Linked DNA regions of Arabidopsis thaliana. The protein of the gene in region 1 interacts with the protein of each later gene in a pairwise test. Each region holds a gene or a part of one and is shown in the gene's direction. Other genes may lie near its edges.

Region 1 (5,852 bases):
TGAACACGTGTTAAATATTATAGAGAAAGATTTGAGTTTTTACAATCTTATAATCCACTCTCCATAGTTTATATATGTACATGCACGATCAGTTTTAACTAATAATCATAAACATATATGTACATGTACAATCAATCTCATATGCAATCAAAGTAAATATAAATTAAAAAAAATGTATATATGGATCTCGTTTAGTTTAAATTCTAAACGTATATTGTCGAAGGAGAAAAACTATAATTTTGTTTGTGTATATTGATTGATTCTTCAGTAATTTCTTCAACTATTCTGATATATATATATATATATATATATATATATATCTACTTGCAATCATAGTTTAAAGATGTTATTTCTGTTAGATGTTTAATCTTGTTTTTTTCTGTCAGTAGTCTTTAATCACGTGCCAAGTAAGCAAAACACTCTCATTATTTTAAAGAATGTTGATTAAATAAACATTCGATGGGCGATGGCTATTGGAAACTGGAAAGTCAGCTAAATACAACAATTTTCCACTTAACATTCTAATTATCTAACTATTAATTATTAATCATTGCTGCATGCCTCTGTTCAACTGTACAGGCTGTTTTCGAATATTTTGTAGAGTACAACTTATCAAAAAATCCCAAACTCTTTTATCTGACAATAATATTTTAAGATATAAGAAATAGTCATAGTATCATATTTTTCAAACTATACAATTTTTATAATTTCATTAAAAGGCAAAATAAAAACCAGGTTACGTAATTAATTTAATAGTCAAATGTTTGCTACAATAATATATTTACAATTCTAGTTACATCTAAGTGTAATAAAATTACAATTCCATTATAGATAGTATAATGGATGATAAAACTTTTGTACAGTTGATAGTAAGAAAATTTAATAAAATATAGGATATTAACAAGAAAAAAAAAACAAAAAAAAAAAAACACGTTAATGGGTAAACTTCGAAACTGAAATTTTTGTAGAAAAAAACAATCACATCATCAATGTATCTTTCAAAATAATGTTTTGACAACTTATCAGTCACTTTTAATTGGGTGTGTTAGAAATAGAGGTACAGTTTAAAGTTTTTATTAGGTTTTGGGTGGTAAGGTGTGTTAGAAATCAGTTTATTTTTTAATCAGTCATTGGTGGTGGTGGAAAATATCATTTTCAAATTTCAAGTAGCAATTATGGGTGAAATTTCTTGTATAAATTTCAAGTAGCAATTAATATATCTTTTTTTATATATAGAAAATTTACATTTTGGTAAAAATTTAAATTAAAAAAAGGAGCATGGTTATATCTTGAATCTTGGTATCTACGAGCATATTATTTAGATATAACAAACAAGTTGGGAATAGACAAAACAAAATGACGAACTTTCCAACGAAAGATCCCATTATAGTAATGTTATTCTTATTTATACTTATACAATCTCTAGTGGCTTCCAAAGTACACAAAATGGGAGTATTATACCAACAAAAATAAACGACTAATGAATCAAAAAATTCAAAATTTGCTTTATTTTATTCTGAAAATCTAACGAGCTGAAACCAAAATGTTATAGATTTAAAATAGAAACAAAACACCGATGATTGACCCAATAAAAAGCAAAATAAAGTAGACCAAAAAGAATAATGGTTATGCTGATAATTGAGGAGTCGTCGTCACTCGTCACATGAGAGGAACAACAAGAAAAGTCAAAACGTTGAAGCTTTCTCGAATAACGCCTTCTTTAGTTTACAGTCTCTCGTTGCGGGTCTTATCTTCTTCTTCTTCTTCCCTCTTTCGTCTGCTCTATATTATGACCAGATTCAAAATTGCGTAGCGTACTAATTCAATATAGAGAGAAGTTAGATCAAAAGAAGAACACGAAACTCTGACTGTGTCTCTCTTTCTCTTCGTGTGTTTCTATATTTATATATAAAAAGACAAGATCTCTGGTCTGGAATTAGAAGAATCTTATTTGGGGTTTTTTCTTAGGATTAAGCTCTAATGGCAGATCAAGTAAAAGAGCGGACTTTAGAGGAGACCTCTACGTGGGCAGTTGCTGTTGTTTGCTTTGTCTTACTCTTTATTTCGATTGTCCTCGAACATTCTATTCACAAAATTGGAACCGTAAGTCTCTTTATATTTCTCCTTATTTCAAGATTCCCCTGTTTCTTGCTCTGCTTTCTGCTCTGTTTCTTTAATTACTGCTCTGTTTTTTTGGATTTGTTTAGTTCTTCTCCTATCACTATCAACACTACTAAATCTGTGAGAATAACGAAAATATCTGATCATTCCTTTTTTTGTGCCTTAAACAGTGGTTTAAAAAGAAGCACAAGCAGGCTCTTTTTGAAGCTCTTGAAAAGGTCAAAGCAGGTAACTATCTTTTTCTACTTAACTTGATCCATTATCAACAAGCTTCTTATCTTTTTCTACTTAACTTCATCCATTAACAAGCTCCTGATTTTGTTTTCTACGTAACTTCATTCAGAGCTTATGCTGTTGGGATTCATATCACTACTACTCACAATTGGACAAACACCAATCTCAAATATCTGCATCTCCCAGAAAGTTGCGTCAACAATGCACCCTTGCAGTGCTGCTGAAGAAGCTAAAAAATACGGCAAGAAAGACGCCGGAAAGAAAGATGATGGAGATGGAGATAAACCCGGTCGAAGACTTCTTCTTGAGTTAGCTGAATCTTATATCCATAGAAGAAGTTTAGCCACCAAAGGCTATGACAAATGTGCAGAGAAGGTAACTAATAATCTCCCTTCTCTCTCTATATAAAAATCATTCTCTGCTTGTTAAACCGATGGAATTTTGATTTCTATTGATGGATTTACTCAGGGGAAAGTGGCTTTTGTATCTGCTTATGGAATCCACCAGCTGCATATATTCATCTTCGTGCTCGCGGTTGTTCATGTTGTTTACTGCATTGTTACTTATGCTTTCGGAAAGATCAAGGTAACTAACATTTCTTGTGACTTACGCAGTTGTTAAGGCGAGAAAAAGAGTGTATGCAAAAGATTTTTATACTTGTTTTCTTGAGTATTGCAGATGAGGACGTGGAAGTCGTGGGAGGAAGAGACAAAGACAATAGAGTATCAGTATTCCAACGGTATGTAAATATGTGAGTATTCGACGAAACTTAAAGACCTGAATGGGAATGAATTAGTCTTGTTATGCAGATCCTGAGAGGTTCAGGTTTGCGAGGGACACATCTTTTGGGAGAAGACATCTCAATTTCTGGAGCAAGACGAGAGTCACACTATGGATTGTTTGTTTTTTTAGACAGTTCTTTGGATCTGTCACCAAAGTTGATTACTTAGCACTAAGACATGGTTTCATCATGGTATGGAATTTATTCTTTTTATCTATTGTTCATTATAACATGTATCTCTCAAAGACAATGATCTAACATTCTACATATTTCAGGCGCATTTTGCTCCCGGTAACGAATCAAGATTCGATTTCCGCAAGTATATTCAGAGATCATTAGAGAAAGACTTCAAAACCGTTGTTGAAATCAGGTTTGGATCTAATAATGATTGCTTTATAAAGTCTGAGCAAAGCCAATTTGGATATTTTATCTTAAATCTCTGCCAACTTTATGCAGTCCGGTTATCTGGTTTGTCGCTGTGCTATTCCTCTTGACCAATTCATATGGTAACGTTCATTGCTTACTCGCAAAAACTACATTTTAGCTGCATCAATAGTCGCACAAAAGTGACATCGGTTTTCTTTTGAAACAGGATTACGTTCTTACCTCTGGTTACCATTCATTCCACTAGTCGTAAGTACAAACAAACTCTTGAACCGATTTTGTCTTTTTGCCGCCAGTTTTGTAACAGAGTGAAAATATATAACTGCAGGTAATTCTAATAGTTGGAACAAAGCTTGAAGTCATAATAACAAAATTGGGTCTAAGAATCCAAGAGAAAGGTGATGTGGTGAGAGGCGCCCCAGTGGTTCAGCCTGGTGATGACCTCTTCTGGTTTGGCAAGCCACGCTTCATTCTTTTCCTTATTCACTTGGTCCTTTTTACGGTACAATACTTGTATCCTTCACCGCTCGTTTTTTCGATCTTTTTCGGGTTTTTTCTCCTAACGGTAGAATAAATTTTCTTATCTTTGCAGAATGCATTTCAACTTGCATTCTTTGCCTGGAGTACGGTAAGCGAGCCATTTCATTTTCTTTGAAAACATCGCTGTTACGGGCTATACTAATTGTTATGTCATAAATTTTCTGTATTTGCAGTATGAATTCAATCTCAATAATTGTTTCCATGAAAGCACTGCAGATGTGGTCATTAGACTTGTAGTTGGGTAAGCTAACATTATCTTGACTATTGATTCTTCTGAGAATTTGTCCTTTAACTGAAAAAGTATAATCCCCCTTTTTATAAATCTTGCAGAGCTGTTGTGCAGATACTTTGCAGCTATGTGACTCTTCCACTCTATGCACTTGTTACTCAGGTACTAGAAAACATTAGTGTTACATGGATGCCAGATTTTGGTTATATGATCTTTAGTTTTTTTTACATTGTGTTGAATGAAAATTGTGTGCAGATGGGTAGTAAAATGAAGCCAACAGTATTCAACGATAGAGTAGCCACGGCATTAAAGAAGTGGCATCACACTGCAAAGAACGAGACGAAACACGGAAGACACTCGGGATCCAACACACCTTTCTCTAGCCGTCCAACCACACCAACACATGGCTCATCTCCAATCCATCTCCTTCACAATTTCAATAACCGGAGCGTTGAAAATTACCCAAGTTCTCCTTCTCCTAGATACTCTGGTCATGGTCATCATGAACACCAATTTTGGGATCCTGAGTCTCAACACCAAGAAGCTGAAACTTCCACACATCATTCTCTTGCGCATGAAAGCTCAGAACCTGTTCTTGCATCTGTGGAACTTCCTCCTATAAGGACTAGCAAAAGCTTAAGAGATTTTTCTTTTAAGAAATGATGATTCTTGTTTGCTATATTTGATTTCGTACAGTGGGAAATTTGTCATATGAAAATAATTTCTTGTACATTACTAGTTGGATAAGAAATAACCATATCTATATGGATACATGATATGTTATTCTCTGGCAATGCTTAAGAGTTTCACGAATTACACATACATTTGTATTTCTGCAGGTTTTAACGTCCTGAGACATCAGTGATGGTGACATTGTTGATAGAGGCTTTAAGAGCAATGCTCTCAGAGAACTCAGCTTCTAAACCAACGTTTCTAGGCATAAAAGCAGGCTGTTTCGGTTCTGGAATGTCTGCAACCTCACTGCTAAGCATCATACACACTGTAGAAACACTTGGCCTATCATTAGCAGCGTCTTGCACACACAAAAGCGCAATGTGAACGCATTTTCGTATTTCTTTCTCAAAAAGTTGGTCAAAAATCTCAGGATCTACCATACCATTAATCTCCCCTTCGTTCCAGATTGACCACACCTATGAAACATAGAAGCTTTGATGGCTTGATGACAATCTCAAGAGAGTTAAGAAACTTTACGAGTTAAAGTAGACTCACATGAGCCAAAAGAGTTGAATGTGAGTTTCTTCTTCCACTGATAATCTCTAAGAGTATCACTCCTAAGCTGAAAACATCAGATTTCTCTGAAAACAGTCCTCCCATTGCATATTCAGGTGCCATATAGCCACTGCACGATACATTTATTTTCTCGGTTTTAGGACTCTTAATGGAAAAAAAAGATGTAAACATATGGTTGAATGGAGTTACATACTATGTTCCAACGACCCTTCTGGTGTTTGCTTCATCTTCATTCCCCGGGAATATCCTGGCCAACCCAAAATCAGATATTTTCGGAATCAGATTCTCATCTAGCAAGATGTTGCTTGCTTT
Region 2 (6,785 bases), 7.4 Mb from region 1:
CCCATAGATCAGCCCATAAGGTGGCACCGGATTTGGGAACAATCACTGTAACATTAGACATACGTTTTGCGACAGGGATAACATCGCTGCTCCAACCAACAGTGACCCAGACATCTCCGACATTGAAAGCTTTTAAATAGTTGTTACTATCAAATAGTCTAATCTATAAGCAAAAGGGGAAACAAGATCAGCCACCATTGTCATTTTTTCTCAATAACTATAGAGGTTGAGTGAAACACGTCAGCCTAAACTCATCTGTTCTCTTTAGGGTATGGAGAGATAGTAAAGAGGTAATAACCTGTTTCATGAGTGATGCCAGATTTTTCTCCACTGCTAATCTTCCGCCAGGAACTTGTGAATCCAGGTCTGTCGTATTGTATGATGCTCTCATGTATTTGAGAACAGCACCAACAACCTCTCTAGGAGAATTCACCATTGCGATCCTTCCTGCAAGCTCGGGTCGCCACAGATCAGCCCAGTCCTAAATTCAGCAAAATGTTCAGTGATATTCACTTCTTTTAAATAGGAAAACACTAAGACAGCATTTAGCAACAACAAAGTATACCAACCTCTATCGGTGCCAATTTATAATTCTGAAATTTGCTCTTTTTGTATGCTATAACCATGGTGCCCCAGCGGTATGGCACAGCCCACGTTTCACCGTCAGGAGCTTTTTCTCCCGCATAGTTCCTGCGGAGATAAATCTGAGACTTTCTAAGTCATGAAATGAACCCTATGAACATTCCCAAGCTAGCAGAGTACGAAAACAAAACACATGAAAGATTATGCCTATTAAAATCTCTCAAGCTAGTGTTCTTTCAAAAAGACTCATATTCATATTGTTAAACCACTGATTTAAATTCTCACCTTCCATTTATCACTCAAGCCTTTATACCAGTCTTGATCTTCTATCCCTTTCATTGGCTCAATTAGCTTTTCCTTAATAGCAAAACTAAGCCAAGAATCACCAATGCTGATCATATCAGCTGCTGCAGTTGAAGCAGCCCCCTTTTTTCCATTCTTACTTGGTTTCGATAGATCGAAAAAGATCTCTTCAAGATTTCCTCGAAACTGAGTCTTTAACCTCACTCTCTTCCCTTGTGAGCTCATAAACTCCTAAATTCCATTCACAGAATCCAACAACATACATTTTCAACTATAAGCTTAAGATTCAAAATAGAAATGGAAACACAGACAAGTGAAACTAAAACCTTGATCCATGATGGTGGCACTGAGCCACGCAAGGCAACGAGTTTTAGCGGGACAGTAAGAGAATACACTTTAGACTTGTACGCTTCGAAATCAGCTTCCAGTTTTTCTTCATCTTCAACTTCATTTAGATTCTCTTCACCTGCAAAAACATTCCATTGGAACACAAAATTCAAATCCATCGAAATCCCAAGAGTGACGAAAATGTTCAATTTCACGCACCAGCTACAGTTTCTGTGTTGATTTCATTCTCTGTAACGACAATCGGCGGTGGTAGTATTCGAGCGGAGGCCGGAGAACAGACGCGGAGGCTACTTAAACCGATGAACAACACGGTCGAGGCAGAGAGACCAACGATCCTCTCATGAAACCGTTCGTCTCGAGAAACTCGTGCAATGGTGATTCCCCTTCCTCCGTCGCGTCGGTTTCCTCCGCAGTAGAAGCTCGCCGGCGGTTTCACGGAAATAATCGCCGCCGTAGCCATCGATATAACGCGATGGTGAAACAACGGACAACAATGGCTTCTAATCTCAAACCGGTTCAATCAAACCGCTGGGCTTATACCGTAATGGGCCTTAAAAATGGGCCCAATGATTTCGACCATTGTAGAGATTAGGCTTAGCTAAGGTCTAGCTGGCAATAATAATTGGGTTTTATGAAGAAAGCGTCGGTTGACACGTGTGGGAGGTCAAGATCGGCACGTGCGAGACCCACTTCGTTTCTTCTCATTGGTCGTATGCTTTGGAGAAGAAAGCATCTTCTTCTTCTTCACACACTCTCTCTCTCTCACTCTAGTTTTCTCTCTCTTCACTCTTACCATAAATCACACAAACAAAATAAAAAGTCGATTCCTTTTTTGTTTTTTTTATCTTCTCCTTAAGTTATATTTTTTTTTTTTTGCTTTACAGCTCAAATTAGTCATCTTCTTCTTCCTCTGTCTCAATTCTTCCTCCTCTCGGATCCATTTTTAGAGGTTCTTATAATTCTTACTAATTCTGTTTGCTTTTAAAGCTATAACCTTTGATATTGTTGGAAAGAGTGGGGTTTTGGGTCTTTTGCTGAATCGTTTTTTGGATTTGTTATATTGTTCGAATCTTCAGTTGTTATTGTGTTATAGGATTGGATGGTATCTGGGAATTTCGTAATCTATGTTAAGCTAGAGCTGTTTTTGAGCTCTTTTGTTGATGATGATTTTGAGATTGTTGGCCGAATTTAGCTCTCGTTTTCTGATTTTAGCAATTGGAAAGTGTGTATTGGTTCTTGTGAGGCAATTTCACTGTTTTGAGTACTCAAAATGTAGATGAGAGCATGCATAAGTTGTGTGGAGACTGAGCTTAATGTGTAGTGTAATTGACAATTAGTTTTGTGGGCTTTCCTTTGTTTTTCAGGAGTCTAGTTTCTTACTTGAACATAGACATGGAATCAACTAATAACTGACAACCAAGAGGCTGTTCTTTTCAAATGATTGGTAGTAGTTATATTATGCTTGGACAGTGCCATGATGGGCATCTGTGAGATGAAAAGCTGCTGCTCATGGCTTCTTTTGATCTCGTTGCTTTGCTCACTATCTAATGAAAGTCAAGCGATTAGTCCTGACGGTACGTCGATATGAATCAACTATTACTATTCATAGCGTCCTGGACCTTTTATTGAGCTTTAATCCTTTATTGCTTGTTTCCATTCTTCAGGCGAGGCGCTTCTGAGCTTCAGAAATGCAGTTACTAGATCAGATAGTTTCATCCATCAGTGGAGACCGGAAGATCCAGATCCATGTAACTGGAACGGAGTGACATGTGATGCAAAAACGAAAAGAGTTATAACCTTGTAAGTTTTCAAACTTGTCAAGGTTTACTGGTTTTCTCTTCAGTATTTGTGCTCCCTAATACTCTTGTTTCGCAGGAATCTTACTTATCACAAAATAATGGGACCTTTACCTCCTGATATTGGAAAGTTGGACCATTTAAGGCTTTTGTATGTGCTCTCTAGCCTTATTCATTTTTATTGCTTAAGAGAGTACTTCGATTCTGATCATCTGTGTGTCATTGCAGAATGCTTCACAACAATGCTTTATATGGAGCAATACCTACAGCATTGGGAAATTGCACAGCATTGGAGGAAATGTAAGCGCTTTTCCAGGATTTTATACTGATTCCACATGGTTTCTGAGAGACCAATTCCAGTTGCTTATGGTCATCAAAATTGTCCAACTGGTTTTGCAGTCACTTGCAGAGTAACTACTTCACTGGACCAATCCCAGCTGAAATGGGAGACCTGCCTGGCCTTCAAAAGCTGTATGTTTTTTTCTCTTCCCTATACGTACTTGCAAGTGCATCCTTCTTTTAGTGTATGCAATATCTATTTGTTTTTTGTTTTCATTTACTTCTATCACCATCTAGGATCATGGTAACATATGGTTGACTGCATAATGTCTTCTCATGCACATTATATTCAGAACTAGTTATACCTAAACTCTTGGTGAGCAATTTGAAAAGCATGATAATGTATTGTTTACTTCAGATTCACATATTGATTGTTCTCTTTTCTCTACTAAAACTGACTTTTGACTTTTTTATTTTATTTTCAAGGGACATGTCAAGCAACACTCTCAGTGGACCTATCCCTGCTTCGCTTGGGCAGTTAAAAAAGCTTAGTAACTTGTGAGCACCTTAATCTCTAACTTCCGCTGTAATTTATCATATTGCAGTCCTGTGAATCTTTCTGTTTCGTTTGTCTTATGAAGCAATGTCTCGAACAACTTCCTGGTGGGGCAAATACCTTCAGACGGAGTGCTCTCTGGATTTTCTAAGAACTCGTAAGACAATAAACACCCTTTTCTTCTTGTAGGGATAGAAAAATAAAGCCTCTAAAGTTACATTTTTTTTTTTTTTTTGTCAATCCTCTAAAGTTACATTTATACAGCTGATCTTTCATATTTCGCTTATATTCGAGATGATTTTTTGAACCACATAACTATTTAGCTAGATTGTATCAGTGCGACTGAAATTATATGATTCTCAAACTGATGCGTTACTACTACAGCTTCATTGGAAATCTTAACTTGTGTGGAAAGCATGTTGATGTCGTGTGCCAAGATGATAGTGGAAACCCTTCATCACATTCTCAATCAGGTAAAAGCAATTATGAATTTCTTGTGATATACAGGTTTTGTTGTGGCTCTCTATCAGTAAAGTTATATTTATTTGGTGTCTTATACTTTATAGGTCAAAATCAAAAGAAAAACTCTGGTAAGCTGCTGATTAGCGCATCAGCAACTGTAGGTGCGCTACTCCTAGTTGCACTCATGTGTTTCTGGGGATGCTTTCTATATAAAAAGCTCGGTAAAGTCGAGATTAAAAGCCTTGCAAAGGATGTTGGTGGAGGTGAGCCGTATTGATTTTTTTTGTACAGATATTATCTCGTTAAATATTGGGAAATTTCATATTTTTCTCTATCTCCTAAATCTTCATTGTGACTTTTTCAATTCAGGTGCGTCTATTGTGATGTTCCACGGAGATTTACCTTACTCTTCCAAAGATATCATTAAGAAGCTGGAAATGTTGAATGAAGAGCACATAATTGGATGTGGAGGCTTTGGAACGGTGTATAAGCTGGCCATGGATGATGGCAAAGTCTTTGCATTGAAGAGAATTCTAAAGTTAAACGAAGGGTTTGATCGGTTTTTTGAGCGGGAGCTTGAGATTCTTGGGAGCATCAAACACCGATACCTCGTGAATCTACGTGGATATTGCAATTCACCAACATCAAAGCTACTGTTATATGATTACTTGCCCGGTGGTAGCCTTGATGAAGCACTTCATGGTATGATCAATCTGCTCTTTATGGCTCTCTTCCATATTATGAATGATTCACTGAGAAGTTTGGTTCTTGAATTAGTAGAGAGAGGCGAGCAATTGGACTGGGATTCACGCGTAAATATCATCATAGGAGCTGCGAAAGGGTTATCATATTTGCATCATGATTGTTCTCCTCGGATTATACATCGTGATATAAAGTCGAGCAACATTTTGCTTGATGGCAATCTCGAGGCACGGGTATCGGATTTTGGTCTAGCCAAGTTGTTGGAAGACGAAGAATCTCATATCACAACCATTGTTGCAGGCACATTTGGGTACCTAGCTCCAGGTACATATGCCTTTTAAAAGTCTTTACTTACATAAAGATTTGATCTTTCAAATGCTGAGACTTTTCCATTTGACAGAATATATGCAAAGTGGTAGAGCAACTGAGAAAACCGATGTATACAGTTTTGGGGTTTTGGTTCTTGAAGTCTTGAGTGGGAAAAGACCAACCGATGCTTCCTTCATCGAGAAAGGCCTTAACGTTGTTGGTTGGGTATGCAAATAAGATTCTTTTTCAATACTGATATTTTGTTACGACAAACTTGACTAAAAAAGCTTTTGACTCATGATTTACAGCTAAAGTTCTTAATCAGCGAAAAACGGCCAAGGGATATTGTTGATCCAAACTGTGAAGGAATGCAGATGGAGAGCCTTGACGCTCTACTATCAATAGCAACACAGTGTGTGTCTCCGAGTCCAGAAGAGCGTCCAACGATGCATCGGGTTGTCCAGTTACTTGAATCAGAGGTCATGACTCCTTGTCCCAGCGAATTTTATGATTCCAGCTCTGATTAATTGCATAAACCCACCAGTCGAAACCTCGAGAAAAAAAGTAAACCGAGTCCGGTTTCCCGGGGAAAGCCTTCAAATGCTATTCGATTTCCGTTTTTGCTCCCCGAGAAAACCTGCAAATACCAACGAAGAGCCATAATTTTCCAGTTAATGGAACAGAGTCTTTGTGTTGTGTTGCCATTTACTTTGCCCCTCCAGTTTTACCAGATTCGAGCCATTCATTTTCAGCCCTTTCTCTTTTTGTTCTGATTTTTGGTATAAAAACTTTTATTTGAACATGAAATTGAATTGTATAGTTGTGACCTTTGTAGAAAAACTACTCTCTGCCTTTATGTTCTTTTGAAATAATCCATGTTCCTTCATCTTCTTCTTCTTCAGTCTCAATCAATCCTGATTCAGTTACAGAGAAGCTGATATCGATTCAAAACCAACATCGATTCAAAACCGGTTCATTAGCAGGGAAACAAATGTTAATGATAAGGGAAGTAGTTAGAGAATGTACAAGAAAGTTTCAGCTATCAATTTCTTTATGTTCCAAATCCAACATCAAATTTGTCGTTTGATGCAGCATTGAGTTGATCTCATCCATTTTTGGGTGTGATAATAGATCATCTCCAACAATAAACTCATGACCAACCCCATCAATCTCGATGGAGCTGCAACCAGGAAACTTTCTGATTCCCAAATCTTTCATTTTCCTTCTCACATTAGTTACATCTTCCCATCTATTAGCAGATGCATATACACTTGCAAGCAGAGTATGAGCACTGGAATCACTTACTTCCACTTTCTCAAGCTTTTCCGCTACCCGTTCTGCTATTTTTACATTCCCATAGTTCCTAGCAGCACTAAGTAAAGAACAGTATACAGGAACTAGAGTTTCATCGCTTTCACCACGCATCTTATCTATCAATTCCTCTGCTT
Region 3 (5,477 bases), on another chromosome or scaffold:
CATAATAATAAGTAACCTACGGGTAGGCAAACTGTTTTTTGGTTTAGGGTTGGTTCAGATTTTATGGTTTTTTGGTTTTACAAAAACTGAAACCATATAGTAAAAGGTATAGAGACTACCACAACACAAAGAGCTGTTTAAAAGACTTATTCTTATTGATAATAAACTTTTGTTACAAGTATTATCTCAGTTCTTACTTGATCTAATCTACCCAAAAGATCAACCCCGACTAAGAATAACTAAGCTCTAATTCTCTTCTCTGTTTTTTATCACTAACCCGTGAAGACGAAGAGAACTACACACTCACCTTCAAGCTTTTGCACGGCTTTGAAGTTTTTACTTAGTATCGAAAAATATCCCAGAGTGCTCAAAGCGGCTCACCCTCTGCTCTAGAATATTTATATCAATTCCCCAGAACCCTAACCTTAGGATCTCCGAGAATCTCTTGATATGGAATCTTCCTTGTTTCCAAGCCTATTCCTTTCTTTATTCTTCGATATAATATCTTCTATATTTTCTCGATGAACCTTGTCTTTGACACCTCTCCAAGTTAACTTCCATCCTTGGCTCTTCACATCATTCGCCTTAGCTTGCCACGTTTGCTCTCGCATCCATGTCTGCACATCAAGCGTCTGATGAAACCTGATGCAGCGTCCTGAAATCCATCAACGATCTGATCACCATCAGCTGATTGATTCACTCTGCATCTTCATATAGAAATCGTATGTAATTTAGTTTGGTCAAACTTTCGGTATCATGAATCATATCCCTAGTTGTAACTAATGGCATGGTTCTCAAAAAATTCTTATACCCAACAAGAAACATAGTGCATTATGTCCCAATTGATGTATTTGTTCAATTGGTTTCATGAAACAATACAACGATTGTCTAAAATTGGGTAGGGAAGAGTTTAGGCCTGACCTGAATATTTGCTGAATAAGGCTTGGGTCAAAACTTTTGTAACTGGGCTTTGAACACCTTATTGGGCGGAAGTTTGCAAAGCCCACCAGATAAATATTTGCTTGATGAGTCTCTAAAAGTCTTGTAAAGATTGATATTTAATCTATGTTTATGGTTAAGGTTATTTCAGAATATTGTGGAGAGCAAGTAAAAAAAACAAAGATAGGAAATTATGATATAACAAATGTGGATGATTTAGGTTTAGGAAATAGCATTTTGTTCAAATATGTGGAGAATACACCATAAATGTTTATTTTCTTATAGTTATCCAAGAGGTTAAATGGTTTAGGTAATCGTAATTAAAGATCAATACGCTAAACATATGTAATTATTTTTTGCGTCAGCTGGATTTTATTATGTCAATTTCAATTACTTAAATCCTAATGCCATAATTCAGTAGCAATTTAAATAATAAAATAAATTAATTTGGATATCTATTCAAATGTACTGTCTCTTCGAAGATAATAATCAAACTTTAAATTCAACAAATATCATCAAAGCATGAAAATTCAATTGTTTCCAGCTACGTATTAATAGCTTTAATGTGGAAAAAGAAATATTAATAGCTTTTTTCATGGAAAAAAGAAAAAAAGAAAGAAACTTTACTTTTAATAGTATATTTTTGTCTGAGCCAATAAAAGAAAAATAATATTTTGGTTTAACATATTTGTCCCTCGTGATAGATTTGATTCGTTCGTTCTCCTTCTCCTTCATTAAAGACTTCACGATCCCACACCTCCACACACATTGACTCACACACACACACTTCTCTCTCCAAGTTCAGAAAAACCAAAAATGGGTTCTTGTCGGAAAACCACTTCTGGTTTTCAGCAAACCCACTTCTTGTAATAAAACAGACAAAACTAGAAAGAAGCAAAAAAGCTTCGTTTTTTTTTTCTCTTTCTCCAAAAAAAAAAACCCCCCCAAATATGGCGTCAATTTCATGGGTTTTGAATTCTCTATTCTCGATATTGCTACTGACTCAGCGAGTCAACTCGGAATCAACCGCAGAAAAACAAGCACTCCTCACTTTCCTTCAACAAATACCTCACGAGAATCGTCTTCAATGGAACGAGTCAGACTCAGCTTGTAACTGGGTCGGAGTCGAATGCAACTCAAACCAATCTTCAATCCACTCTCTCCGGTTACCAGGAACCGGTTTAGTCGGTCAGATCCCATCAGGCTCCTTAGGTCGACTCACTGAGCTCCGAGTTCTCAGTCTTCGTTCTAATCGTCTCTCTGGTCAGATCCCTTCAGATTTCTCAAATCTTACTCATCTGCGAAGCTTATATCTTCAACACAACGAATTCTCCGGCGAGTTTCCGACGAGTTTTACTCAGTTAAACAACTTGATTCGTCTTGATATCTCATCTAACAACTTCACTGGTTCGATACCTTTCTCAGTCAATAATCTCACTCACTTGACTGGTTTGTTTCTCGGTAACAATGGTTTCTCAGGGAATCTTCCTAGTATTAGTCTCGGTTTAGTCGATTTCAATGTCTCTAACAACAATCTAAACGGTTCGATTCCGTCTTCATTATCAAGATTCTCAGCTGAATCGTTTACTGGAAATGTAGATCTCTGTGGTGGTCCGTTAAAGCCTTGTAAATCGTTTTTTGTGTCTCCCTCGCCGTCTCCGTCGTTGATTAATCCTTCTAATCGTTTATCCAGCAAGAAATCAAAGCTTTCGAAAGCTGCGATTGTCGCGATAATCGTCGCTAGCGCGCTCGTTGCGCTTCTTTTGCTAGCTCTGCTTTTGTTCTTGTGTTTAAGAAAAAGAAGAGGAAGTAATGAGGCGAGGACGAAGCAGCCGAAACCGGCGGGAGTAGCTACAAGGAATGTGGATCTTCCACCGGGTGCTTCGTCCTCGAAAGAGGAAGTAACGGGGACATCATCGGGTATGGGAGGTGAAACAGAGAGGAATAAGCTTGTTTTCACTGAAGGAGGAGTGTATAGTTTTGATTTGGAAGATTTGCTTAGAGCTTCTGCTGAGGTTTTAGGTAAAGGAAGTGTTGGAACATCGTATAAGGCGGTGTTAGAGGAAGGTACCACGGTTGTTGTTAAGCGGCTTAAAGATGTAATGGCGTCTAAGAAAGAGTTCGAAACACAAATGGAAGTTGTTGGTAAAATCAAACATCCAAATGTTATTCCATTAAGAGCTTATTACTACTCTAAAGATGAGAAACTTCTCGTTTTCGATTTCATGCCTACCGGAAGCTTATCTGCTCTTCTCCACGGTTAGCATCTATTATCTTACTCAATTTTGCTCAATTTCATTGTTACTACACTATTAGTTAGATACATTGTGTAGAATCTTGGTTAGGTTTTGAGTTCTTATGGTTATGGTTATGGTTAAGATTTGGAACCTTAGTGAGATTAGGGAGTGATGATTTGATAATATTTTTCTAATGGATACTTGTGTGATTTTGCTTTGCTGGCAAGAAAAACATTCTTATTAGACTGCATCACATTCTTTAGATATTTTATTTTTGTTGAATTGTGGTAGTTATAGCTGGAGTTGTTATGCAATTATTAAAAGAGAAAAGTGTGTTGCCGACATTGTTATGTGTCTGTCTGGTTAGTGTCATAATAATTTATTTCATAATTTTGCTTCTCTCTCACTCTTTAAAGATTGGAATAAAGGAAAAGAAAAAGACTCTTCCACATGGGCTTTTCTCATCATCATATCTTAAACTCTTTTCCTTGAAGTAAACTTTTGTCTAAATGAGTGATGGAACTAAAGAACCTTTAGAATATGAATATTTTAATTTACTGAAAATGTATTTACAATTTAAAGCTTTAACCTAAGTTATGATGGGAATTATAATGTTAAGCTAGTACTATGAACATTTTGGTCTTTTGAAACTGTGTTTACATTTTGAAGTTAACTTGCAATATCTGGCTAATAGGTTTGTGTTTGTTTTAGGGAGCCGTGGATCAGGGCGAACTCCGTTAGATTGGGATAACCGTATGAGAATAGCGATAACTGCAGCGAGAGGTTTGGCGCATCTTCACGTTTCAGCCAAATTGGTACATGGAAACATTAAAGCTTCAAACATCCTCCTACACCCAAACCAAGACACTTGCGTCTCTGATTATGGACTGAATCAACTGTTCAGTAACTCGAGTCCACCAAACCGTTTGGCGGGTTATCATGCTCCTGAAGTTCTCGAGACACGGAAAGTAACTTTTAAATCGGATGTGTACAGTTTCGGGGTGTTGCTTCTTGAACTGTTAACAGGAAAATCACCAAACCAGGCATCACTTGGGGAAGAAGGTATTGATCTACCTCGGTGGGTACTCTCCGTGGTTCGAGAAGAATGGACTGCTGAAGTATTTGACGTTGAGCTGATGAGGTACCACAACATAGAGGAAGAGATGGTTCAGCTTCTTCAAATCGCAATGGCTTGTGTATCAACGGTTCCTGATCAACGACCAGTAATGCAAGAAGTACTAAGAATGATCGAAGATGTCAACAGAAGTGAGACAACCGATGACGGGTTAAGACAATCGTCTGATGACCCGTCAAAGGGATCAGAAGGTCAGACTCCTCCAGGAGAATCAAGGACGCCACCACGATCAGTCACACCTTAGCAAATGAATGGAATTGATTAAGAAGAAAGCAGCTTTAAAGTTTTTCTTGTTTGTGTTCACCTTTTTTTTTTTCTCCTCAAAAGGAGATAAAGAAAGGGATGAGATAAGTGTGTGAGGTCTTTGTTAGGTGTGAAGGTAAAGCAAAAAAGACTGGACCATCTCTGCATTTGGACCAACTTCTACAAGATGGCATCTCCCATCTATTTTTTTTTCAGTCTTCGAGATATTCTAGTGGTTATTATTTTTTCTTTTATTTGTATTTGGTGTTTACAATTTACAGGTTTAAATCAAAATTCAGTCTAAAACACTTCCAAGAAACTCACTCTTTTGGGTTTTATGCATAGTCACTAATTCTTCAGCTGTTTGAATAGATGATCTTTTTTTTTTTACCAAAAACTAAAACAGATGTTACTTTATTAGTTTACATTATTATCGACGTAAAATGATTTAAAAATAATAACTTGCATGTAGGAAGTATATATATGTGTCATATAGTAGTAGAAATAGAAAGAAAGAGATCCGGGTCGTCTTATTTGAACATATCAAGCGACTAATCAGTCATATGAGTCATTAGATTAGATTTGCTACTTTTCATCATACAATATTTTCCAATTGAAAGTGAGTTTTTTACATTTGCAATTAGATACAAGACCAAAGCCAAAAACAGTTTCCACTTTTGAAAGCTTGCTAGTAAGTCATTATGAATATGATTATTTCAAACATTAAGCTGTTAATAATTATAAAACTTTCATATTTAGTTGGTGGTCTGCATTTGGATTATTAAATAAAGATGCAAAAAATATCACAAAAATGCTCAAAGATTTCGTAACAAATGCTTCCAAAAAAACGCACACATATAACTAGTAAAATGTAACCAAAATATAACAAATTTACAAATTAATTGAATTTTAGTATAGTGAAT
Region 4 (6,298 bases), on another chromosome or scaffold:
CGAGAGCGACGACGAACATGAAGAAGAACAAACAGATATGATCGAAGCGGAGGCTTTAGTAGAGAAAGAAGTAATAGAAACTGTGAAGGAGAATAAACCTGAAGACTCGAACAGTATAGTTTCACATTCTCCGAGCATTTCTTGTCGTTCGGACACTAGCAATAACAGCATTGGTTCTTTCGCATTCCCACTGTAAGTCGTTCTCTTCAAAATCTCAATTTATCGATCCATTTTTGATGATTTCTTGAGCAAGAAGAAACTTTAAAACCCTAATTTTACTTTCTTTGGAATTTATGTAACAGATTGCAAAAAGAAGATGCAGTTACCAAAACGCCGTCTATGCAAATCAAAGGAAACGTTTCCCACAAGCGAAGACCCGAGTATCAGCTGCCTCAATCGCGAATGCTACAGCCACAACAACAACTACAACCTTATTCAGAATCTAATATGCTAACTGAGTCTCAGCCGGAACCACAACCACAAAGGAAGGCATCAAAAAAATTCGAGTCTCGAACGCAATCGCTAAAAGCTTCAAGAACCTGCTGGTTCTCTTGCTTCCATTGTCCTTCAAAATGCGGTTCATTCAAGTAGAGGAGACTTTTAGCGTTTGCGTTTGAAGCGATTCCTCTTCTTATGTGTAAATTGTACGGATGAAAATAGTTGTAAACCAAGAGTGATGATCCAAACCGAGTTCTGGTTTTCAGGATTAACACCATATTTTGGTTCGATTAATTTCGGTTACCGGATGTTGTAAACCGGTTGATGGATGATATAACTCTTATGTCATGGTGATGCATACATACAAGGACCACATTTCATTATTACTTTATTTCAATACGTATCATTATTATAAGTAGTAGCTAAAAGACAGATATATTTCACTAAAAGAAAAACAAACCTTTTTTTCTTCTAATTGAAAAGGTTATAAACTCAGTCTTTTTATCCCCATAAATGTGGCTAATGTGTTGTGTACATGACAAAATTATAAATTTATATTTAAGAAAAAACATTTTAATTTGCTTTATCTTGAAGCTTCCTTTAGTTATATCCTTGAAAAGAGGCGATTCTGTCCCTTTTTCACTTTACAATTTCTCAATATTTTTGTTATAAAGAAACACATCTTTGTCACATGCATTTATGTATAGTGGCAGGCGATTTTTCTTTTAGCGTGAGATTATGAAATTTTCCTAATATAATGCATGTCCATATACATATATCTATCTGTAATAAATGTTAGCTTCAAGATCTTAGCATAACATTGGTCGATGAGAGATTGATACGTCTAGGAGAGTTGAAATATTGTTACATTTATTGTGACTCAACATATTTTATTTCATCACTTCGAATAAACAAAAAATTTAAAATAATCTGTCCTCAAATTTAGTGATAAGATAATCTTGCATCTACCTACTGTTATCAATCATGTACCTATTGCGATTTGATGTGGTGAGACTACAATGATCGATGTTAAAAACTTTTAATGTTAACTTCACTACATGATCGATAAATAATCAAAAATTGCTTCTTCCAAGTTAAAATTACACTAAAGAGTTTGTTAGCCAATAGGAAATAAGGAAAGTGGACCCACTCTCTCATTCACAGAACGATTTTTTATTTTTTTCTGCATAAATTAAATTAAAAACATTTTTAAGATCTTTTATCAAAAAAAAAAAAAAAGAGAGAGAGAAGAAAAAAACGCGTCTTCCTCAGTGACAGTGTTGAATTCTCTCATCTCTTTCTCTCTCTGCTTCATCAGTTTCTCTCACTACAAAGCTTCTCATCATCTCCCTAAATTAGGGTTAAAGGGTCGAGCTTGGGATTGTTTCGCACGGTAAAAGGAAGGATCTTTTGCTCGTCAATTGCTATATTAGCAGACCTTGCGAGGTGGGTTTAGGGTTTTGTTGTAAAAACATTTTTGGGGATAAGTTACGAAGATGACTTCTTTGCCTTCTTCAGTGATCAAATGGCGTTTTTTCCGCAGACAGATGCCTTCAGACGTTGTCTTCTCGCTCTGCTTACTCTGTTTCGCCTCCTGTCTCGCCGGAAAAATCACTGTTTTAGCTGATTCGGACAAATCCGTGTTGCTTCGGTTTAAGAAAACGGTATCGGACCCTGGTTCGATTCTAGCTAGCTGGGTCGAAGAGAGTGAAGATTACTGCTCCTGGTTTGGTGTATCTTGCGATTCGAGCTCTCGAGTCATGGCTCTTAACATTAGTGGCTCTGGAAGTTCTGAAATTAGTCGAAATCGTTTCACTTGTGGTGATATTGGTAAGTTTCCGTTGTATGGGTTTGGTGTTCGGAGGGATTGTACCGGAAATCATGGAGCTTTGGCGGGGAATTTGCCTTCTGTAATCATGAGTCTCACAGGACTTAGGGTTTTGTCTCTGCCTTTTAATTCGTTTAGTGGAGAGATTCCTGTAGGAATCTGGGGAATGGAGAAGCTTGAAGTTCTTGATCTGGAAGGGAATTTGATGACGGGGTCATTGCCGGATCAGTTTACTGGGTTACGGAATTTGCGGGTTATGAATTTGGGGTTTAACAGAGTTTCAGGTGAAATCCCTAATTCGCTGCAGAATCTGACAAAGTTGGAGATTTTGAATTTGGGTGGTAATAAGTTGAATGGAACTGTTCCTGGTTTTGTTGGGAGATTCAGAGTGTTGCATTTGCCGTTAAACTGGCTTCAAGGCTCTTTGCCTAAAGATATTGGGGATAGCTGTGGAAAGCTTGAGCATTTAGATTTGTCTGGTAATTTCTTGACTGGGAGGATTCCAGAGAGTTTGGGGAAATGTGCTGGTTTAAGGTCGTTGTTGTTGTATATGAATACGTTGGAGGAGACTATCCCTTTAGAATTTGGGAGTCTTCAGAAGCTTGAGGTTTTGGATGTTTCTAGGAACACTCTTAGTGGTCCATTACCTGTTGAACTTGGAAATTGCTCTTCGTTGTCTGTTCTCGTTCTATCAAATCTGTACAATGTGTATGAAGACATTAATAGTGTAAGAGGGGAAGCTGATCTTCCTCCAGGCGCTGATTTAACCTCGATGACCGAGGATTTCAATTTCTATCAAGGAGGAATCCCGGAGGAAATCACTAGGCTTCCGAAACTAAAGATACTTTGGGTGCCCAGAGCTACGTTAGAAGGTAGATTTCCAGGAGATTGGGGTTCATGTCAAAACTTGGAGATGGTTAATTTGGGTCAGAACTTCTTTAAAGGCGAAATTCCTGTCGGTCTTAGTAAATGCAAGAACCTTCGTCTTCTTGATTTGAGCTCGAATAGGCTTACTGGGGAGCTTCTCAAAGAGATTTCGGTCCCATGCATGAGTGTTTTTGATGTTGGTGGAAACAGCTTATCGGGTGTAATCCCTGATTTTCTCAACAATACCACAAGCCATTGTCCTCCTGTTGTTTACTTTGACAGGTTTTCTATTGAATCTTACAGCGACCCGTCGTCTGTTTATCTCTCCTTCTTTACCGAGAAGGCTCAAGTTGGAACTTCCCTGATAGATCTTGGAAGTGATGGAGGTCCGGCCGTGTTTCATAATTTTGCAGACAACAACTTCACTGGTACTCTCAAGTCTATACCACTTGCACAGGAGCGGTTGGGAAAGCGAGTCTCTTACATATTTTCTGCTGGAGGGAATCGGTTGTACGGGCAATTTCCGGGAAATCTGTTTGATAACTGCGACGAACTCAAAGCTGTTTATGTCAATGTAAGCTTCAACAAGCTCTCAGGTCGGATTCCTCAGGGACTAAACAACATGTGCACTTCTCTTAAGATTCTTGATGCCTCGGTGAATCAGATCTTCGGGCCAATCCCAACAAGTCTCGGGGATCTAGCTTCACTTGTTGCTCTTAATCTGAGCTGGAATCAGTTGCAAGGTCAGATACCGGGTAGCCTCGGGAAGAAGATGGCAGCTTTGACATATCTTTCGATTGCGAATAACAACCTCACGGGGCAAATTCCTCAGAGCTTTGGTCAGTTACATTCCTTGGATGTTCTTGATCTCTCTTCAAATCATCTATCTGGCGGTATTCCTCATGATTTCGTAAACTTGAAGAATCTCACTGTCCTGCTTCTCAACAATAACAACCTCTCTGGCCCAATCCCGTCGGGTTTTGCGACATTTGCTGTTTTCAATGTTTCCTCCAACAATCTGTCTGGTCCAGTTCCTTCAACCAATGGACTGACGAAATGCAGCACTGTTAGTGGAAACCCCTATCTTCGACCTTGCCATGTGTTTTCTCTGACAACACCGTCTTCGGATTCCCGAGACTCCACGGGTGATTCTATCACGCAGGATTACGCATCTTCGCCTGTTGAAAACGCTCCATCTCAGTCGCCAGGAAAGGGTGGATTCAACTCGCTAGAGATCGCCTCAATCGCATCAGCTTCAGCGATTGTCTCGGTACTAATTGCTCTTGTAATTCTCTTCTTCTACACAAGGAAATGGCATCCGAAATCGAAGATCATGGCCACTACAAAACGAGAAGTCACTATGTTCATGGATATCGGAGTTCCAATAACCTTTGACAACGTGGTTAGAGCCACAGGAAACTTCAACGCAAGCAATCTGATTGGAAATGGTGGATTTGGAGCGACCTACAAAGCAGAAATCTCTCAAGATGTGGTTGTCGCAATCAAACGCCTCTCGATCGGACGGTTTCAGGGAGTCCAACAGTTCCACGCAGAAATCAAAACTCTTGGTAGACTTCGACACCCGAACCTCGTGACTCTCATCGGTTACCACGCTAGCGAAACTGAGATGTTCTTGGTGTACAACTATCTCCCAGGAGGCAACCTCGAGAAATTCATCCAAGAAAGATCCACAAGAGATTGGAGAGTTCTTCATAAGATCGCTCTGGACATAGCTCGAGCACTCGCTTACCTCCACGACCAATGCGTCCCACGGGTGCTTCACCGAGATGTTAAACCGAGTAACATCCTCCTAGATGATGACTGCAATGCGTATTTATCAGATTTCGGGTTAGCGAGATTGCTTGGGACATCGGAAACGCACGCAACAACTGGTGTGGCGGGTACGTTTGGGTATGTAGCTCCCGAGTACGCAATGACATGCAGGGTATCAGACAAAGCAGATGTATACAGCTACGGAGTGGTGCTTCTAGAGCTGCTTTCGGACAAGAAAGCACTTGATCCGTCATTTGTGTCGTATGGTAATGGTTTCAACATAGTGCAATGGGCTTGTATGTTGTTGAGACAAGGAAGGGCAAAGGAGTTTTTCACAGCGGGATTGTGGGACGCAGGTCCGCATGATGATCTAGTAGAGGTTCTGCATTTAGCGGTTGTTTGTACGGTGGATTCTCTGTCGACGAGGCCGACGATGAAGCAAGTTGTAAGACGGTTGAAGCAGCTACAACCTCCGTCGTGTTAGCACCTCCCTCCGCAGGATTTGATTATTATTCTTTCTTTAAAAAAAGTTCTCTCAGTTGTAAACTTGTATGTGTACGTAGTAGTTGTTAGAAGAAGAAAGAGAGGTTGAATTTCCTATGGGTTCTCTCGAGGGTAAAAAGGACATTTGAAAGGGGAAGCCATAGGAAGGTTGATCTCTCTCAGTAAGCAGAAAACCATAAAATGAGAAAGAATTGTTTGTAGCTAATTTGTTTCTCCCACTTGTAAATTGTTTTATACTAAAGTTTTGTGGGAGTTTTTCTTTCTTTTTCGATTTTTAGTATGTTTAAACTGCCGATCCTTTTTGTTTGATTGACATTTCCATTTTGAGAAACTTGGGCTATGGGCCCAATAATATATGCGAATAAAAAAACTCGGGCTATGAGCCCAATATTAACTTAGAAGACCGACAATGCTATCAGTATAATCCCCATAAGAAAGCAATTCCACCCATTTGGGTTTGAATGGTACATCATTGGGTCTTGATTCATGATTGTCGATCTTCTTCGGTAGTGGTCTGGCTTGCTTTGGTTGAGTTGGCATCTTCATCCTTCTTGAAAGACAGCGATGTGAAAGGTTCTTCTATGTATCTAGTATCAAATAGAGCGACTCTCGCTACTACATGCTACTTCCATGAATAGTTAACGCCAAGCGTATTGCTCGATAATAAAGACGAGTATATCCATCCATTGGCTCAACATTTGTGAAACATCCGTTCGTTGAGGCTAACGGTTTCATTTGAAGAATGGAAATTAGAGCTTATAGCCATTAGTGTGTTACGAAAGATCACCGTTATCAATCATATATAGCCCCCTTCTTGGCTCACTTATCGCATTAGTTACAAAGCAGTCCTGACGATCCACAATTAGACTTAGAGAGAAAACTTAGTTC

The links.
Region 2: the proteins of MLO2 (region 1) and FEI1 interact in a protein complementation assay, tested with the Arabidopsis thaliana proteins (one large-scale study listed by BioGRID).
Region 3: the proteins of MLO2 (region 1) and AT2G26730 interact in a protein complementation assay, tested with the Arabidopsis thaliana proteins (one large-scale study listed by BioGRID).
Region 4: the proteins of MLO2 (region 1) and RPK2 interact in a protein complementation assay, tested with the Arabidopsis thaliana proteins (one large-scale study listed by BioGRID).

Annotation. Positions count from the first base shown.
Region 1 is NC_003070.9:3,799,999-3,805,850, reverse strand, and holds MLO2 (Seven transmembrane MLO family protein), read left to right. Parts: upstream 1-1,617; 5' UTR 1,618-1,980; coding exon 1,981-2,103; intron 2,104-2,155; exon of another isoform or gene 2,156-2,291; coding exon 2,292-2,349; intron 2,350-2,464; coding exon 2,465-2,730; intron 2,731-2,823; coding exon 2,824-2,940; intron 2,941-3,033; coding exon 3,034-3,094; intron 3,095-3,164; coding exon 3,165-3,328; intron 3,329-3,411; coding exon 3,412-3,506; intron 3,507-3,592; coding exon 3,593-3,642; intron 3,643-3,728; coding exon 3,729-3,769; intron 3,770-3,848; coding exon 3,849-4,022; intron 4,023-4,112; coding exon 4,113-4,148; intron 4,149-4,233; coding exon 4,234-4,301; coding exon of another isoform or gene 4,302-4,305; exon of another isoform or gene 4,306-4,390; coding exon 4,391-4,451; intron 4,452-4,544; coding exon 4,545-4,952; 3' UTR 4,953-5,131; downstream 5,132-5,852. Other genes in the region: AT1G11303 (G-type lectin S-receptor-like Serine/Threonine-kinase), read right to left, coding at 5,132-5,440, 5,520-5,649, 5,734-5,852.
Region 2 is NC_003070.9:11,247,653-11,254,437, forward strand, and holds FEI1 (Leucine-rich repeat protein kinase family protein), read left to right. Parts: upstream 1-1,965; 5' UTR 1,966-2,707; coding exon 2,708-2,807; intron 2,808-2,897; coding exon 2,898-3,033; intron 3,034-3,108; coding exon 3,109-3,180; intron 3,181-3,257; coding exon 3,258-3,329; intron 3,330-3,428; coding exon 3,429-3,500; intron 3,501-3,794; coding exon 3,795-3,866; intron 3,867-3,949; coding exon 3,950-4,021; intron 4,022-4,248; coding exon 4,249-4,337; intron 4,338-4,430; coding exon 4,431-4,589; intron 4,590-4,695; coding exon 4,696-5,028; intron 5,029-5,103; coding exon 5,104-5,352; intron 5,353-5,428; coding exon 5,429-5,562; intron 5,563-5,645; coding exon 5,646-5,864; 3' UTR 5,865-6,263; downstream 6,264-6,785. Other genes in the region: AT1G31410 (putrescine-binding periplasmic protein-like protein), read right to left, coding at 2-163, 299-481, 570-704, 868-1,116, 1,212-1,351, 1,432-1,693; AT1G31430 (Pentatricopeptide repeat (PPR-like) superfamily protein), read right to left, coding at 6,373-6,785.
Region 3 is NC_003071.7:11,386,732-11,392,208, forward strand, and holds AT2G26730 (Leucine-rich repeat protein kinase family protein), read left to right. Parts: upstream 1-1,566; 5' UTR 1,567-1,889; coding exon 1,890-3,198; intron 3,199-3,887; coding exon 3,888-4,555; 3' UTR 4,556-4,951; downstream 4,952-5,477.
Region 4 is NC_003074.8:378,792-385,089, forward strand, and holds RPK2 (receptor-like protein kinase 2), read left to right. Parts: upstream 1-1,558; 5' UTR 1,559-1,934; coding exon 1,935-5,390; 3' UTR 5,391-5,791; downstream 5,792-6,298. Other genes in the region: AT3G02125 (pinin-like protein), read left to right, coding at 1-192, 303-591.